Linked DNA regions of Schizosaccharomyces pombe. The protein of the gene in region 1 interacts with the protein of each later gene in a pairwise test. Each region holds a gene or a part of one and is shown on either strand. Other genes may lie near its edges. The genes, in order: ssb1 and rti1.

Evidence for each region.
Region 2: the proteins of ssb1 (region 1) and rti1 interact in a two-hybrid assay, tested with the Schizosaccharomyces pombe proteins (one study listed by BioGRID).

What each region holds. Positions count from the first base shown.
Region 1 is NC_003423.3:216,569-225,444, reverse strand, and holds ssb1 (DNA replication factor A subunit Ssb1), read left to right. Parts: upstream 1-4,146; 5' UTR 4,147-4,184; coding exon 4,185-4,225; intron 4,226-4,294; coding exon 4,295-6,083; 3' UTR 6,084-6,263; downstream 6,264-8,876. Other genes in the region: msi2 (cleavage factor complex subunit), read right to left, coding at 1-146, 468-508, 581-1,021, 1,070-1,116; M phase inhibitor protein kinase Mik1, read right to left, coding at 1,933-2,469, 2,538-3,746; ergothioneine biosynthesis methyltransferase Egt2, read left to right, coding at 7,266-8,444. UniProt on the Schizosaccharomyces pombe protein: As part of the replication protein A (RPA/RP-A), a single-stranded DNA-binding heterotrimeric complex, may play an essential role in DNA replication, recombination and repair.
Region 2 is NC_003423.3:743,063-751,148, forward strand, and holds rti1 (DNA repair and recombination protein), read left to right. Parts: upstream 1-2,972; coding exon 2,973-3,203; exon of another isoform or gene 3,204-3,301; coding exon 3,302-3,385; exon of another isoform or gene 3,386-3,538; coding exon 3,539-3,718; exon of another isoform or gene 3,719-3,776; coding exon 3,777-4,029; exon of another isoform or gene 4,030-4,081; coding exon 4,082-4,160; exon of another isoform or gene 4,161-4,205; coding exon 4,206-4,494; 3' UTR 4,495-4,672; downstream 4,673-8,086. Other genes in the region: U4/U6 x U5 tri-snRNP complex subunit Prp31, read right to left, coding at 1-457; protein Mdm35, read left to right, coding at 1,007-1,045, 1,108-1,278; GTPase npa3, read left to right, coding at 4,790-4,847, 4,922-5,075, 5,132-6,023; SPOM_SPBC119.16C (uncharacterized protein), read right to left, coding at 6,183-7,529; cym1 (metalloendopeptidase), read left to right, coding at 7,724-7,843, 7,895-8,086. UniProt on the Schizosaccharomyces pombe protein: Active in the repair of DNA damage and in mating-type switching. Probably involved in the repair of DNA double-strands breaks. Has a role in promoting S phase completion.

The DNA.
Region 1 (8,876 bases):
ATGTTCTTTAGACATCACCTCATTAACACACTTGGGATTTTTAAAAGTTAGAAAGCCAAATCCCCTAGAACGGCCAGTAGTACTATCACGCATAACCGTACAATCGAGGACCTCTCCGAACTGCTCGAAATAATCACGAAGGGAATCTGTAAATCAAACATTAGCATTAAACCAATAAATTTACTCCTAATAGTCTAAATAGCATATATGTACTTAGCACCTGACAACAGAAAGAATAAAGCTTAACGGAAAATGGACGTCGTAATTTACTGAAAAAATTTATATCTAAAACAAGACCATTTTTCCTCAAGCGTATACCGTTCTGGTCGATGGTGTCCCAAACACATAATGTTAAGGTACAATAGGCAAAACAAACAAATCAAAAACTACACTTCCAGCTAACAAATTTCTGATCGACAAAATTTATGCATGCAAAGATAGTTTAAGATGGCGGAAAATTAACATACCATCGGTAGTCTCCCAATTTAAACCACCAATAAACATTTTACTAAAATATCTGGTTAGAATTGAACTACTGGAATTTCCTAAGAAGCTACAGGATATAGTACAATTAACATACCCGTCCTCTCGATTAAAGGGACTAGTTTCCTCTGCATTATCTTCATTTGATTCCATAGCACCGGAACCGGTCAGGGCCGACTGATTTTCATTATAGTTATCATTTTTAGAATTTTCACCGTCCTCGGCATTGTCCCAAGTTGCGGAACTCAAGGCTTGTCCTCTAATATCATACGAAGAAGGATCAGGCGCTTGCTGAGACGTTTCATTTAAATCGTCTTCTTGATTGGCTTCCGCTTCAGCACTGTATTGTTGGTCCGATCCCGAACGGTCAAAATCAGCTCCGGGTTCTTCTCGAAAAGGGTTTTCTTTTGTACGTTCAGCACCCGCTTCTCCCGATTTTTCGAGTTCTTCATAGCCCTCGTTTTCTTTTGTCGGCGTCACATTAGACGTTTCTTGATTTCCTGAAGCTGACTCCACTTTTTTTTCATTTTCCTCACCACTAATTAATCGATAATTAGTACTATAAAAATACATTTCGAAAACTTACTATAGATCCTTAAAAAGCTCGTCATCTTCAAAATCAGAGCCGCCCATCGTGAATTATTTAAAATAAGATATGAATGGTGGTTAAAAGATGGAAACAGTATGGGGTTGTACGTGATACATTCTACCAAAGCGGAGCGTAATACGCTAAATCCTGCACAATTCAGTGAACACTGTTAAGAATAATGGAAAAAGAAACGACAAAGACAAAAAAAGGAGTCGATCCAAATTTACAAGTTTTGCTCTGTTCTTTTGAATATAAATGATTTGTTGATATTATTGCTTGTAACTCAATAACTAAATATGAAAATTTTTACATAATTATATAATCTTACAGCTATACCGGAAGGCTTCATAATTCAGCAATTGTAACGATAGATCAGGCGGAATACGTATACAAAGACAAGGCACTTCCATATTTTGAGTTCCTTAAAACAGCACTTCTGCGAAAGACTAGGAAGCTTAAAATAATTATCCATCACAATATCAGCAATTCCCTGCATAAAAAAAACGCTCAAGTTTTTTCACTAAAACACAAAATGCGACATTAGGTGGATTTTTAAACGTAAAATACCCAGCAGTTGATCAAAAGACTTAGACGATTGACGTTTAGCCGTCAAAAGATGTTCTTTTAAAAATGACCAAAAAGATGGATTGCCAGGGGGTATTAAAAAAAGATCGACCCGGGGTAATTTTTTGCACCAATTGAATTGGGGTAAACACAAGGTCACTCGAACAGACGAACAAAAGAAACATTAAAATTTAAAAATATAAAAATATTGGTATAAAATACAAATTAATGAACCATGGAAGAACGCAAAATTCATTCCCTCATTGTGGGGCTAAAATATTCGCACACAGAATCCCTCAAGTTTCTAACCAACTGTTATGGTCTTCGTAGATAATTGCAGCTTTTTGAGAATGCTCAGAGATGAATATCATTTCCGGCATTGCTAACAAGTCTTGTGTTGTGGGTCGACAATCCACGTACGGATGCGTCATACGCTGAAGCAAACACTGTAATGATTCAGCACACCTCACCTTGTTTATTTGAACCTTTTCTTTCGACAAAAGGAGGTCTTTAAGATTTGGCAAATTTGAGTAATCTCCAGACCTTAGTCGTTGCCATTCAACACCATTTTCTGGCAGGACTACATTTGTTGCGGCTTCAATCATACTGAGGCCTAGTGAATATACATCGGCTGGTTTCCCATAATTATGCGAAGCTAATATTTCGGGAGCTATATAGACTCTGTCGCCTTCGAGATCAACCATCGAGGAGACCGGTAAACTAGTTGCTAGTCCGAAGTCTCCCAACTTTAAGTTACCATCACGAGTTATAAGAACGTTGGAAGGCTTAACGTCTAAATGAACAAATTCTAAAAGATGAATGAAATTTAATGCCTATGTTCGGTTAGTGAATTCAAATGACGTGTCTGTGGAACGCGACTTTTAAATATGTAATAACTTACTTGAGTTAGTTGAAACAACATTTTCCACACGCGAAAAGGATCCATGACCTGCAATAATCCCAATTCGCTTAAAAATAAACTTAGGTCTCCGTTTTCACAATAATCTAATTGCAAAAATATATTATCATTGTAGCTCCAAACGTTCACTAGATTTACTACAAATGGACATGCTTGCAAGCGTTGCAAAATAGATACTTCCTGTAAGTGACGCTCTTTTCCTGTAAACTTGGCTGCATTTTTTTTTAACATTTTTACAACGTAAACCGTTTCAGTAGGTGGGTTGATCGAAGACACATGATATACAAATGAAAAATCACTCTCGTGTATCGGCTTAACTTGTTGGAATCGAATTCGAAGATCACTAGTCCAATCTTCCTCTTCTTCGTAATCATCTGCGCTGTTGATGTTTAAAAAAATTGGACTGGTAGGTGTCCAACTTAATGAAGAAGGTACGTCTTTCTCATCCCAGTTATTAACGTGGGAACTTGAAAGGAAAATAGGCTGACTCTTGCAAGGCGTTTCGCAAAATTCCAACAAGTCCTCTGAACCATAAGACAAAGAAGGAAGTTCTTCCATTTCAAACGTTTCATCCGAGCTGTCAGAGTTTGGATGATCCAACCGACTAAAAGTATCTAGGTCGATATGTTTACATTTGCGAGCTAAAAGAGAGGTAGTGGGTGACAGCGGAGATTGAGGTGGTTTTAATTTTATTTTCGTTCCCTTTTTACAAGGTGTATGAGGTTGTTCACTTCTTGGATTAGTCAAATTCCCTTCCCATAATGACCACTTTTCACGTTTTGATAACAGTCCTGTGCTTAAAGAAGTCACCGCCCTTTTTCGTTTTAAATCAATTGGCGTTGAAGCATCCACAATTTTTTTGGATAACTTCAAGCCGCTCGAAAATGCAAATGGTTTGCTACACCCATCGAGATCTGAATTCTTAAAAATTCCGTGGCGAACTGTAGTGGATAATCTGATGGCTTTTGCATTATTTTGCATAGGGGTATGTGGACTTCTTTTTGTATTGGAAGGTTTAAAGAATGTCAGTTTTGATGACTTATGGCTCTGATTTTCTTCATGGCCAGACGAAAAATTGTAAATGGGTTCATCGTAGAAATTTAATGGAGAATGCTCATTAAACGAAGAGGATATATTAAAAAAACATGGTGTTCGCGTTGGAGTAATTGGGATGGTGGTTGATGAATCCATCTTTAACTGAAACCTGAATGTAAATAAAGTTATATTTTTTTGCTTATTAGCTGTTAAAATCCCGTTTTCACTTTGATATCTCCGGTTTTCCTAAATAATAAATAATATGCAGATGATAATGTAGTTCAACTCTTCCAACAAAAGGAAAATCACAAAGGATTTATTTCCTTTTGTAGAGAATTAAATAACACTACTATTCTTTTCAGCTTTTAAGGGCTTTTCTATAGCAATGTGTTGTGCGCAAAGGATAACTTTGAAAGTAAACAACCATTGTTGACATGCACGTACACAAACAACACATCTTAAAGTTACGCGTAATATTAAAATGTGTTACGACGCGTCATGACGCGTTCGCGTTTTTCATTTGGGATAACGCGACGCGGCTTCGTTCTTTTGCCTTAAACCAACCACTAATTAAAAAAAAAAGAATTTGCAAACATGGCTGAGCGATTATCCGTGGGTGCACTTCGTATAATCAAGTAAGTTAACTGTCCAAATTATATACTCAAAAGATTTCGACAAATTGGGATGTTAACACGTTTCTTTAGTACATCCGATGCTTCGTCTTTTCCTCCTAATCCAATTCTCCAAGTCTTAACCGTGAAGGAGCTAAACTCAAATCCAACTTCTGGTGCTCCTAAAAGATATCGTGTTGTCCTTTCCGATTCAATCAATTATGCGCAATCTATGTTAAGCACCCAGCTGAACCATTTGGTTGCCGAAAATAAACTTCAAAAAGGAGCGTTCGTACAGCTTACCCAATTCACTGTAAACGTTATGAAAGAAAGAAAAATTTTGATTGTTCTTGGTTTGAATGTTTTAACTGAACTTGGCGTAATGGATAAAATTGGTAATCCCGCTGGTTTAGAAACAGTTGACGCTTTACGGCAGCAGCAAAATGAGCAAAACAATGCTAGCGCACCACGAACAGGTATTTCGACAAGCACTAACTCATTTTATGGAAACAATGCTGCAGCTACAGCACCGGCTCCACCTCCCATGATGAAGAAGCCAGCAGCGCCGAATAGCCTTAGCACAATAATCTACCCAATTGAAGGTCTCTCTCCATATCAGAATAAATGGACTATTCGTGCCCGTGTTACTAACAAATCTGAGGTTAAACATTGGCATAATCAACGAGGTGAAGGAAAGCTTTTTAGCGTAAATTTACTCGATGAAAGTGGGGAGATTCGTGCAACAGGCTTTAATGACCAGGTTGATGCTTTTTATGATATCTTACAGGAAGGTTCGGTTTATTATATATCTCGTTGTCGTGTGAACATTGCAAAAAAACAATATACCAATGTTCAAAACGAGTATGAGCTGATGTTTGAACGTGATACTGAAATAAGGAAAGCTGAGGATCAAACTGCCGTCCCCGTTGCGAAGTTTAGTTTTGTTTCTCTACAAGAAGTCGGCGATGTTGCCAAAGATGCTGTTATCGATGTAATTGGTGTACTCCAAAACGTTGGACCAGTTCAACAAATTACCAGTCGTGCAACTTCTCGTGGATTTGACAAGCGTGATATCACTATCGTTGACCAAACAGGATATGAAATGCGTGTTACGCTTTGGGGAAAGACAGCTATTGAATTCTCTGTTTCTGAAGAAAGTATTCTCGCTTTCAAAGGAGTTAAAGTTAATGACTTTCAAGGACGCTCTTTGTCAATGTTAACTAGCAGCACCATGTCGGTAGATCCAGATATCCAGGAATCTCATTTGTTAAAAGGTTGGTATGATGGACAGGGTAGAGGGCAGGAATTTGCCAAACATAGCGTAATTTCATCTACTTTATCTACTACTGGAAGGAGTGCTGAACGTAAAAATATTGCTGAGGTTCAAGCCGAACATCTGGGAATGTCAGAAACACCCGATTATTTTAGCTTAAAGGGCACCATTGTTTACATTCGAAAGAAAAACGTGTCATATCCTGCTTGCCCTGCTGCTGATTGCAACAAAAAGGTTTTTGATCAAGGTGGCTCCTGGCGATGTGAGAAATGTAATAAAGAATATGATGCTCCTCAATACCGTTATATTATAACTATTGCTGTAGGTGATCATACGGGACAACTCTGGCTCAACGTCTTTGACGACGTCGGTAAATTAATCATGCATAAAACGGCAGACGAATTGAATGATCTACAAGAAAACGACGAAAATGCCTTTATGAATTGTATGGCAGAAGCTTGCTATATGCCATATATCTTTCAATGTCGTGCTAAGCAAGACAATTTTAAAGGTGAAATGCGAGTACGCTATACAGTGATGTCAATTAATCAAATGGACTGGAAGGAAGAGTCTAAAAGATTGATAAATTTCATTGAGTCTGCTCAATAAAACATTGTGTTTTACGTCTCGCTGGTCGAGTAATTGAGTTTTTGGCTTAAATCGCGAAAACTACGATTTATGATTTTGCATACATTGATTACAAAGTGACTCCTTTCCTTATGATTTGGTACTTCACTTACATTTAACTAGATTTAAAGTAATTATATATGATCTGAATTTTTGGAGTAATTAGTTCTGTTGCTTACATATTAAAGTTCCTTGATGGGTAATTTACGCTATAATGGCTTGATTGAAATCACCGCTAAAAGAATGCAATGATATCTTTTAATATGAAGTAAAATATACAGTAAACTTATCAATTGTTTTAGAATTGAAACTGTTGAAGAAATAAATTACCAGATTGTTTTGAAGTAAATACGAGTCTACGAAAATGCAATCCTATTTTAACAGGAATATGAACCATGATTTTTTTAAATTTACTTTATAAATAAACAACTTTAATAAGGAAGCGATTTAGATACCAATAACAGCAGGTTACATTCTTTAATTGAGTAATAATAATATAACTGAGCAAAAAGACTGTTTTGCGACAAATTTTGTTAATTACATACAAAATCTTAAAATACAACATTTCTTTGATTAAATCGTACAAATTTATCTTTAAAGATCCTTAATTAGCTCCCCACATTCTAAATGGAATGGAGTAAACTATTTAATCCGTCTCGCAACAACCTTCAGTAAAACCTTGACAACGAGAGATTTAAAAAAGATTAAGCGCTGGTTTTAGTTTTTGTAAAGTCAATGGGGATGCTAAAGAAATGATAGAGTAACGGATATGTTCGAAAAAAGTTCTGAAGCCATGATCTTTTGTAGATCAGATCAGTCTTATCGTATCTCCAAAAAACGTAGATTATAAGTATCTTTCTTGTAAAATTATTGTTATCATTATGATAGAAATCTTTATAATTTCAAAGATCGTCTGTTTTTTGATAGTATATTAATTCCGTTATCCGCTAATATTAATCATTTCATTAGCACCTAACCGCCAACGGTTTCCTTTAGCCTGACGATACACTATTTTGTTAATAAGCCATTGTGACATTTTATAGCAAGCAAACTATCGTCATTATTATTCAATTATTGTAATCCAAAACGGAAACATACAAAGTTAGACTGTCTACTTAACTACAAATTGGGAGTTCCGAAATTCACTGTGATTTAATTTTATAAATGGCTGAAAACAACGTCTACGGCCATGAAATGAAAAAGCATTTTATGCTTGATCCCGATTACGTGAATGTAAATAACGGAAGTTGTGGAACAGAATCTCTTGCTGTTTACAATAAACATGTCCAACTTTTAAAGGAAGCTCAGAGCAAGCCAGATTTTATGTGCAATGCCTATATGCCGATGTACATGGAGGCTACTCGAAATGAAGTTGCCAAGCTGATAGGCGCGGATTCAAGTAATATAGTTTTTTGCAATTCCGCTACAGATGGGATTAGTACGGTTTTGTTGACATTTCCGTGGGAACAGAATGATGAGATATTGATGCTAAATGTTGCCTATCCTACTTGTACATATGCCGCTGATTTTGCAAAGAATCAGCATAATTTACGATTAGACGTTATCGATGTTGGGGTGGAAATTGATGAAGATCTATTCCTTAAAGAAGTAGAACAGCGTTTTTTGCAGTCCAAGCCGAGAGCATTTATCTGTGATATTTTAAGTTCTATGCCCGTTATCTTGTTTCCTTGGGAAAAAGTCGTAAAGCTTTGTAAAAAGTATAATATTGTTAGCATTATTGATGGTGCTCATGCCATAGGTCATATTCCTATGAATTTGGCTAATGTTGATCCTGATTTTTTGTTTACCAATGCTCATAAATGGTTAAACTCACCAGCTGCATGCACTGTACTCTATGTCTCAGCTAAAAATCACAATCTCATCGAAGCACTTCCTCTCTCATACGGTTATGGATTAAGAGAAAAGGAATCAATTGCCGTAGATACTCTTACCAATCGGTTTGTCAATTCTTTCAAGCAAGATTTACCTAAGTTTATAGCTGTTGGTGAGGCTATTAAGTTTCGAAAATCCATTGGAGGGGAAGAAAAGATTCAACAATATTGTCATGAAATAGCTTTAAAGGGAGCCGAAATTATTTCTAAAGAACTGGGCACTTCCTTTATCAAACCTCCATACCCAGTTGCAATGGTAAACGTCGAAGTTCCCTTACGCAACATTCCCTCCATAGAAACACAGAAAGTATTTTGGCCTAAATATAATACATTCCTTCGATTTATGGAATTTAAAGGAAAATTTTACACTAGACTTAGCGGTGCGGTGTATTTAGAAGAATCAGATTTCTATTATATTGCTAAAGTTATTAAAGACTTCTGCTCTCTTTGAATAACTATGCTTCACAATGCATCCTCTGACTCTTTTTATGTGACTCAAAGCACTTAAGTTATTTAATACTCACCTGTGTTTTAGACATTGCAGCACAATAGATTCTAAATCTTAAGAAGCCTATAACATTCGTTTAACTAGTTACTTATATTTTGCGTGAATCAATTATTACAACGTTCACAATTTTGGAAGAAAATGTATATTTTTACTTGAAGCACTTTAACGTTTCAAATGTACAAAGATGCAAAACTATTTTTAACAATAGGCCCGAATGTATTTTTGATACAAACGGAAAATATATAAGGCACAGAACTCCAAGCAATGAATATAGTCTAGTCTACAAAGCTGCAACTTTTTACCAGGAACATGCATGGGTTCCATGCTAAGGGAGAGAACGTGACGTGCGGAAACATGAGGGTATTCGGGACATAT
Region 2 (8,086 bases), 530 kb from region 1:
TTAATTCAGGAAATCGGTCATGATACCATTCCTTCACGAGTCTGTGCAGCCGCAGGATTTCATCGTCAATTTCCATCGCAATTGAATTAGAATCCACGATAAGGTGATATTCGAGATCATCTTCGATGTTTCCAGTGATAGCTTGTTTTTCGGTGCCTTTATATTTCTCAGTTCCTTCTATGATATCGCGAAGACGTGTAGAATTCAACAGCTGATAAATGTTCTCATTATTGTCATTAAATTTATTAGCAACTTCACTAGGCAATTTTTGAGCAGAATCGCTAATTTTGGTAATATCCAAATCGTTTTCTAATTCAGCAGAAATGCCATTTCCTTCCTCTAATTGTAACTCTAACCGCCTTTTCTTCGCATCTGGCCCAAGTTCATCAGTAATTGTAGATTCTGTAGTTTCCTCAATATCATCAAGATCAGCTAATAATTCATCTGCCAGTGACATTATATTGGTTAAAATCCTTGCCTAATGAAAAACTTTTTGTCAAGCGTAGTTGCCAGAAAAAGAAAAAAAAATAACAAAGCTGGTTCTGGAAGTCTAAGATTTCACTAAAAAAAAGACTAATGAATAATTCAAAAATAGGACGTAATCAGCAAACGCCAGGATAGTAATGTACAAAATAGATGTATGTGGCTATTTAATAGAACTGCAACTTTTTATAGGCTTAATAGCACTAATCGTGCAAATTTGAAGATTAATGCAAATAAATAAGTAAAAATAAGATTCAAATTCGCTTTATTGACAAGTTCCAAGTGGAGTGTCAAACTTGAACTGGCATGGGGTATTTTGCTTAGTGCTCTACACATACTAGACAACCACGTTACTACGGTCATAGGGAATTGGGATCGAAAACTGCTTGATTCATTTCTTCAAGTTTGTTAAATTTTTTTCGTTCATTTTTTTTTTCCTTGACAAGGAAATTGGTTTAATTGATCTGGAGAAAATTCATTCATTCAACAGTTTGGAAAAGTATCAAGATTACTGAATCCAACTATGTCGTCCTCTGTTAGTGAAGAATGTACCCCTGCTAAGGTAGAGTTTTCTTTATATGATAAACACTGTGGACGAATTTTAGCTGACTAAATTATGAACAGAAGAAGTATGATGCCTGCTTTAACGATTGGTATGCGAATAAATTCTTAAAAGGTGATCTCCATAATAGAGACTGTGATGAGCTCTTTGCCGAGTACAAATCATGTCTTTTGAAGGCTTTGAAAACGAAAAAAATAGATCCTCTTCTTGAAGCAGCACGCAAAGAAGATTAAAGTAAGAGCATCTTTGGATATATGATTTTTAAGGTTGCTTTGAAAGATAGCAGTACCATGGAATAAAGCTCTTCTTTTAAAACGGGTGAAAAAGTGATAAGCATCTGTGCAATTGTAAGTTTATCAGAATTGTAGGTAACGAAATATCTCTGCCATGAAGCAAGTATACACTTCTAAAGGTGTTGTTTAAGAACATATGATTCGGCATATCCTTTTGCTGGCAAACCAATAATTCTCTAAAAGGGTAGTTGACTAAGATCATACTAAGTAAAATGATATGAACATCTTTTCATTGGACTCACCTTTGTAGAAAACTTGTAAGAATATACTTATAATCAAAGAATTGAATGGTATTCCTTCTTAATTAGTCTATTTTCACTTCGACATGCAAAAACATTATTTTGGCAAAAATTCGACACCAGCAGGATTTGAACCTGCGCGCGGAGACCGCAACAGATTTCTAGTCTGTCCCTTTAACCACTCAGGCATAGTGTCCAAGTCTGTCACTAAAAAATATATAACATATACATATTAACTACATCAGTCGCAGTTAAACAATAAAAATTTGAATGAATGAAAAAAAATACTGTAAATGTCAATTGATTTTTATCATTTTTAAATAAATAAAATTTGTAACTGTTAAGTCAAATTTCGAACCTCTACGTTTAGGAAAAGCTTTGCATGAATGTTCAGTATTTTCTTTATTAGTTTTGGAACTATTGTATTCAAAAGTACACTGAGTCCAGTAGTAATCAGTTCTGTTGAGAATTTCATACTATTGATTGTAATTGATATACGGTATTAAGAAGCTGAAAGTTGAAGTGCAGTCAATTTCCTTTGTAAAACATGTCTTTCATAGTTAGGTAGCAAATTGGTATATTAGAGTTTAATTGCAGATTATTAATCAAAAACAAATTTTTACCTAAAATATTATGCGTTACGCCAAATTTTGAGTCGTTAACCTAGCAATTGCACAAGGGCAAACAATAAAAACGAGTGGGTGATGGAATTAATAAGACCAGGTTTGTTTTTGCTAGCTTCTGCAGCGCAGTTTATTTATAGAAAATATTGTTATTATTTTTAGTTAATGAAAATTTGGGTTTTTTTATATATAATTTTCCTAAGAGTCGTATTTACATATATATAAACAAAAATATTAAAAATCGAAATACTTATCTCTAAAGAAATACATGTCAAAGCAAATCATTTTACAAATAAAGAAATTGCCTAAAAAAATTAAATCTCTTTCTAGCAGCCCATGAGTAATTTTATGCACACCATAGAGCACATTACTGTTTGTTTTGTTTTCTGGAGTGTACCAAGCATTTATAAATTGGTAACACAAAGCAAATACGTTCTTAAATGTAAGGTCGAAGGAAAGTGACTAGCAAGCTCAATTGTTCTTTTAGTGTATAATAGAACAGACATAATCTTCTCGAAATCTTATATGTTTAAAAGCTTTTTTTTTCTGCGTTATAAAATCATGCCTTTGTTTAAGGAAATAAATTGAGATTTTTTATTAATTTGCATTTTAAATTTGCTAGATTTTTTTTTTTTTGTTCATTCAATTGTCAAGGTCCAATGTTTACAGACGCGTAAACAAACAAATGTGACGTGGCGAAAGACGCGTATAAAAAACCCATTATTCTTCTTTTAACATTCCTTTAAATTAAGATCCCCAAAACATTTTCAAAATGGGCTCGCTACCTGATCAATCGTCTTGTGAAGAGTTTACTGATTCGCAACAGGATAAGATGACAAAACTGCTTGCTATGCAACTTGGCCCAGAGTATATTTCTCGCCGAAGTGGTCCAGGAGGAGGATCTGTTACATACTTAGAAGCATGGAAAGCAATTGAGCTCGCAAATGAAATATTTGGATTTAATGGGTGGTCTTCTTCCATTCAAGACATTCATGTCGATTATGTAAGTGTTAATTTTGCGTCAAAATTCTACGAAAAAAGTGCAAATCGTATCAATTCTTGAGCCTATATTTATTTATTTTTACTAATCATTATTAAAAGGTAGAAGAAACGAAAGAGAAAAAGTTTAATGTTGGAATCAGCGTTATTGTACGCGTTACATTAAAGGATGGCTCCTTTCATGAGGTAAACAAAACATGTCCTCAGTAATATTTCGTGATACCGGTTAAATTAATTATAGCAAATGGTATTTTTTTCGAAATAATTCATAACTTTTTCGTTCTTAACTATTCCATATCAGATTGTGGCCAATTTCTTGCTAACAAATGGTTTTTCTAGGACGTTGGATATGGATCTATAGAGAATTGTCGAGTGAAGGCATTAGCTTACGAAAAATGTAAAAAGGAAGGAACTACGGACGCATTAAAGAGAGCTCTTCGAAACTTTGGAAGTAGCATGGGTAACTGCCTTTACGACAAACGCTATATTCAAAAAATCTTGAAAATGGCACCTGCCCAGGTAATATGGAAACACATAAAATTTAAAAATAATTAAGCTGACAGAAATGCAAAATTAGGCTGAGTTCAACTACGACAACCTTTTACGCGCAAACAAAAGACCCTATGCACGGTTCGCTCAGAAAGTATCTACCCCTATAGAAAGCCATGCAAATAAAAGTGTTAAGCTAGAACATAAAAATTCAATAGAGAAGAAAATTTCCAATGTGGATAAACCTATATCAGATCTCATTGAGAATGACATTCATGAAAGTCTGCCAGCTCTGCAAAATCCCCCCATTCAAAGCCATTCAGAAACAGACCTTTACGCAGGTATAAAAAATTTATTAATGACCAAATTGAAAAACTAAACATAAAAATATAGATGAAGAACTGGACAGCATCCTTATGCATCACGAGCGCCCGCCTATTCCTGAGTCACCTAGGGTAGAAGAATTCGAGGAGTAAGACAGACCGATCAATGCGTGCGAATGCCGACTAACTAATAGATTATTAAACCAATTTGAAGGAGATGAAAAAGTTTCTGTTGACAAAATTGACGCACACGATAAAATGACCGAAGCTCAGGTTGTCAAGATTCCCCCAGTACAATTTATGAATGCACGTGTAGCAGCAGCAGAAAACCCACATATAAAGCACGAGGGAATGGCATTTCAGTTGCACAAAAAGAGTAATTCTATACTAAAATCATCTAATATAGACCACAACAGATCCATGCCTATACGACGTCCTTCGTTAACTTCAAACAACTCTGCAAACACGTTCTCAACGAAATAAAAAAAATAAAATTGAGTGAAACGTTCAATGGTATAAACTTTTAAACTGCTTGCGAAATAAATTGCTGTACAACGAACGTCTCAGTGAATTTAACTAACTATCTTTCTTCTATTGAATGCAAAATTTCGATTTTCGAGTTCATGAATCAATTTATTTTTTTAATATACTTTAAACAGAATTAATATGAATAATTAATATGAATTTTTAAGACGTTCAATTCAATTTGTGTTACCCAGTAGTTTTTTGAACTGACCTTTCACCTCTTCTTCCACTTGGTTCAAATAAGTAGATCAAAATGACAGATAAAGAGAAGAAGCCTTGTGCCATCATAGTTGTAGGAATGGCCGGTTCAGGTATGAATTTTTTTATAATTGAAAAACCAATAAAGCACTCAACGCAGCAATTTCTAATCATTTTCATGTAATAGGCAAAACCACCTTCATGCAACAACTGAATGCACACCTTCATTCAAAAAATAAACCTCCTTACATTTTAAACTTGGATCCTGCTGTTCGAAATTTACCCTATGAGGCAAATATCGATATTCGTGATACAATCAATTATAAAGAGGTTATGAAACAGTACGTTTGTCTATTCCAGAGTTACAAGATTTTGGGAAATTTTCTAATTCATTTAGATATAACTTGGGGCCAAATGGCGGTATTATGACAAGTTTAAACTTATTTGTTACAAAGTTTGATCAAGTACTAAAAATTTTGGAAAAACGTGCACCAACAGTCGATCACATTTTGATAGATACTCCTGGACAAATAGAAATTTTTCAATGGTCTGCCTCTGGAAGTATCATATGCGATACACTTGCCAGTTCTTGGCCAACATGCATCGCTTATGTTGTCGATACGCCAAGGGCAACATCTACTTCAACATGGATGTCATCTATGCTTTATGCATGCTCTATGCTCTATAAAGCCAAGCTCCCACTTATCATTGTTTATAATAAATGTGATGTTCAAGATAGCGAATTTGCGAAGAAATGGATGACCGATTTTGAAGAGTTCCAGCAAGCTGTGACTAAAGACGAAGGTATGAGTTCTGAGGGTGCGACATCTGGATATATGGGTTCGTTGGTAAACAGTATGTCTTTAATGCTTGAGGAATTTTATCGTCATTTAGATTTCGTGTCCTGTTCGTCTGTGACAGGTGAAGGCATGGATGATTTTTTAGAAGCTGTTAAAGCTAAAGTTAAGGAGTACGAGGAAGAATATGTTCCAGAAATGGAACGAATGAAAGAAATTCAACGACAGACGAAAGAGAGACAAAAAGAAGCTCAGCTTTCTAAACTCATGAAAGACATGCATGTTTCTAAAGATAAAGAGGATGTTGGTCTAACTGTTTCGGATGCCGAAGATGAATATAATGGCGAGTTAGTGGATCCTGACGAAGATGATGGTTTAACTGCTGAAGATAGAGAAGATATGATTAAGCAATATCGTGTTGCTCTTGGTATCTCTGACGATATCTCTGATGAAAAGCTTCTTGAAATGCTTACAGAGCGTATGAAGCAATAAAAACAGAGAATAAATCTACTCATAAAAAATGAATAAAATAAAGGTATTAGGAAGATATGTTATAATATATTACTTTAATGACAAAATGGAATTTCTTTGAAACCGGTGCTCGAGGTAAAACTCGTTTTTTATTTTAGGGGATTGGTAAATCCCTCTTGTCTACAATAGTTTCCAAAGTATAAATAAAAAACATGTAGATGCTAGAAAAATTAGAGATACCCGCCTTAGCCAAAAGTATTTACCGTATTGCCAGTTGATATGTTTTTTTAACCATATTTGTGAAATTTCTGACACAAATGATTTATCGAGTGAATGACATGGATTCAAACCTAATGTTTGCATGTCTGAAACATTGAATGACTCTGCGTTTGAACTCAAAACGGTCAGCAATTTCTGATTGTAACGTTGGAAGTAATCCAGCATATTCTCATTTAAGAATTCCTGATCTGTCAGATTGTGATGGCTTGTATTAAAAATGTATTTAGAAGCCAGAGAATAGGTAGTAAGCCCCCAACTACTTTCCCCGTCAAATGATAGATACCTAGAAAGACCCTTAAAATTAATTAAGTCATCATATGAAGGTTTGATACGGATTGAATTTGAGTTGAAAATTTGCGGGTATTTATTAGCATTAAAAGAGTTGTCAGGCCAATATAACGCAAGGTCGTACAGTGAAGACTTGGAAAGTAATACAGTATCAGTTGTGCAAGCAATCCATCCCTCTTCTAAGTCATTATCTAGTAATGTGCTAGTATTAGCCAAACCAACAGAGTAGAATGGGTGCAAATCGGAAAGTAATATTGGTATAGAAGCATCAGATGATCTTTTGATAGAGCTTAGTCGAACAATCATATCGATAATTGAATACAGTTGGTCATCATGAGAAGATATCAAAAGAATCCGCTTGCGTTGAAGTGCAAATTTATAAAGACAATAAAAAGCCGGTCCAAGGTGATCGAGCAGAATTGTTGCGTAAGATTGAGAGAGTTCCTTTGAATTGGCACCTAAGATAGCAAATTTGTTCCCTTGAAGTTTCTCAAAAAGAGAATCAAATTCAAGATTCACAGCTGATGTTTGTAGACTTTTAAAAAAATCACTATCTGATAACTGGTGAGATGTGCACTTTTCAGAAGCATACGTTTCAGAAGCGTCTTCCCCAAATTTGTATTTCAAAGTTGCTAACGACAGACCATTCGCGATATAGAGTAATGTTTCTCCATATTTTACAACAGCCTCACCAAAGTTAATATCATCGCTGAGGATGAGTCCGACAGATGTAAAAAATGCACTCCTTTCAAACGAGGGGTGTTGCAATTTTGAAAACACACTTAAGCATAACTGGTCTTGAAATCGAAAAAAAATGGTACAATTATCTAACTCCTGTATACCACTAGGGAAAAGCAAATATTCAATTCCTTCAACATTGAAATCTCCAGGATAATAATTCTCGACGTTGTAGCCTTCTTTTGCATCAAACGTCGCCAAGACGATGGCTTGAATAGACATTGATAGTGAACGAGGTTTATTTTTAATGAAGATGAACCAGAAAAACTATCCTATAAATAGAAAGTTCAAAAACAGTACAATTAAAAGTTCATTAGTAAATGTGGTGCTAAAATTCGGGTCAAAGTTTGTTTACTATATAAGAATAAGGAGTTATTCGTCTACTCAGAACCAGCAACCTTGGTTTCCTCAAAATAATGAATTATGCCAAGTTATCGATAGCATTTTCAAAGAAAACCATAAAAACACACAACTGTCGACTATTTCAGCGATGGCTGCATGTTGGCGACAAAGTCCATGATTTTCGTGTAGTCGATGTAAGTAGCTAAAGCAAATTTAAAAAAATGGAACTACTAACTGTTTCCTAGACTAAAAAAGTACCAGAGTTACAGCTTAATTATACTCGTTTGAAACACGAGCCGACCAATGCAGATATGATACATCTGGATCGAGAAGATCCAAATAGCGTTTTCAGCATTGGATTCCAAACTCCAGCAGAAAACGATGAAGGAATTCCTCATATTTTGGAACACACAACTCTTTGTGGAAGTAATAAGTAT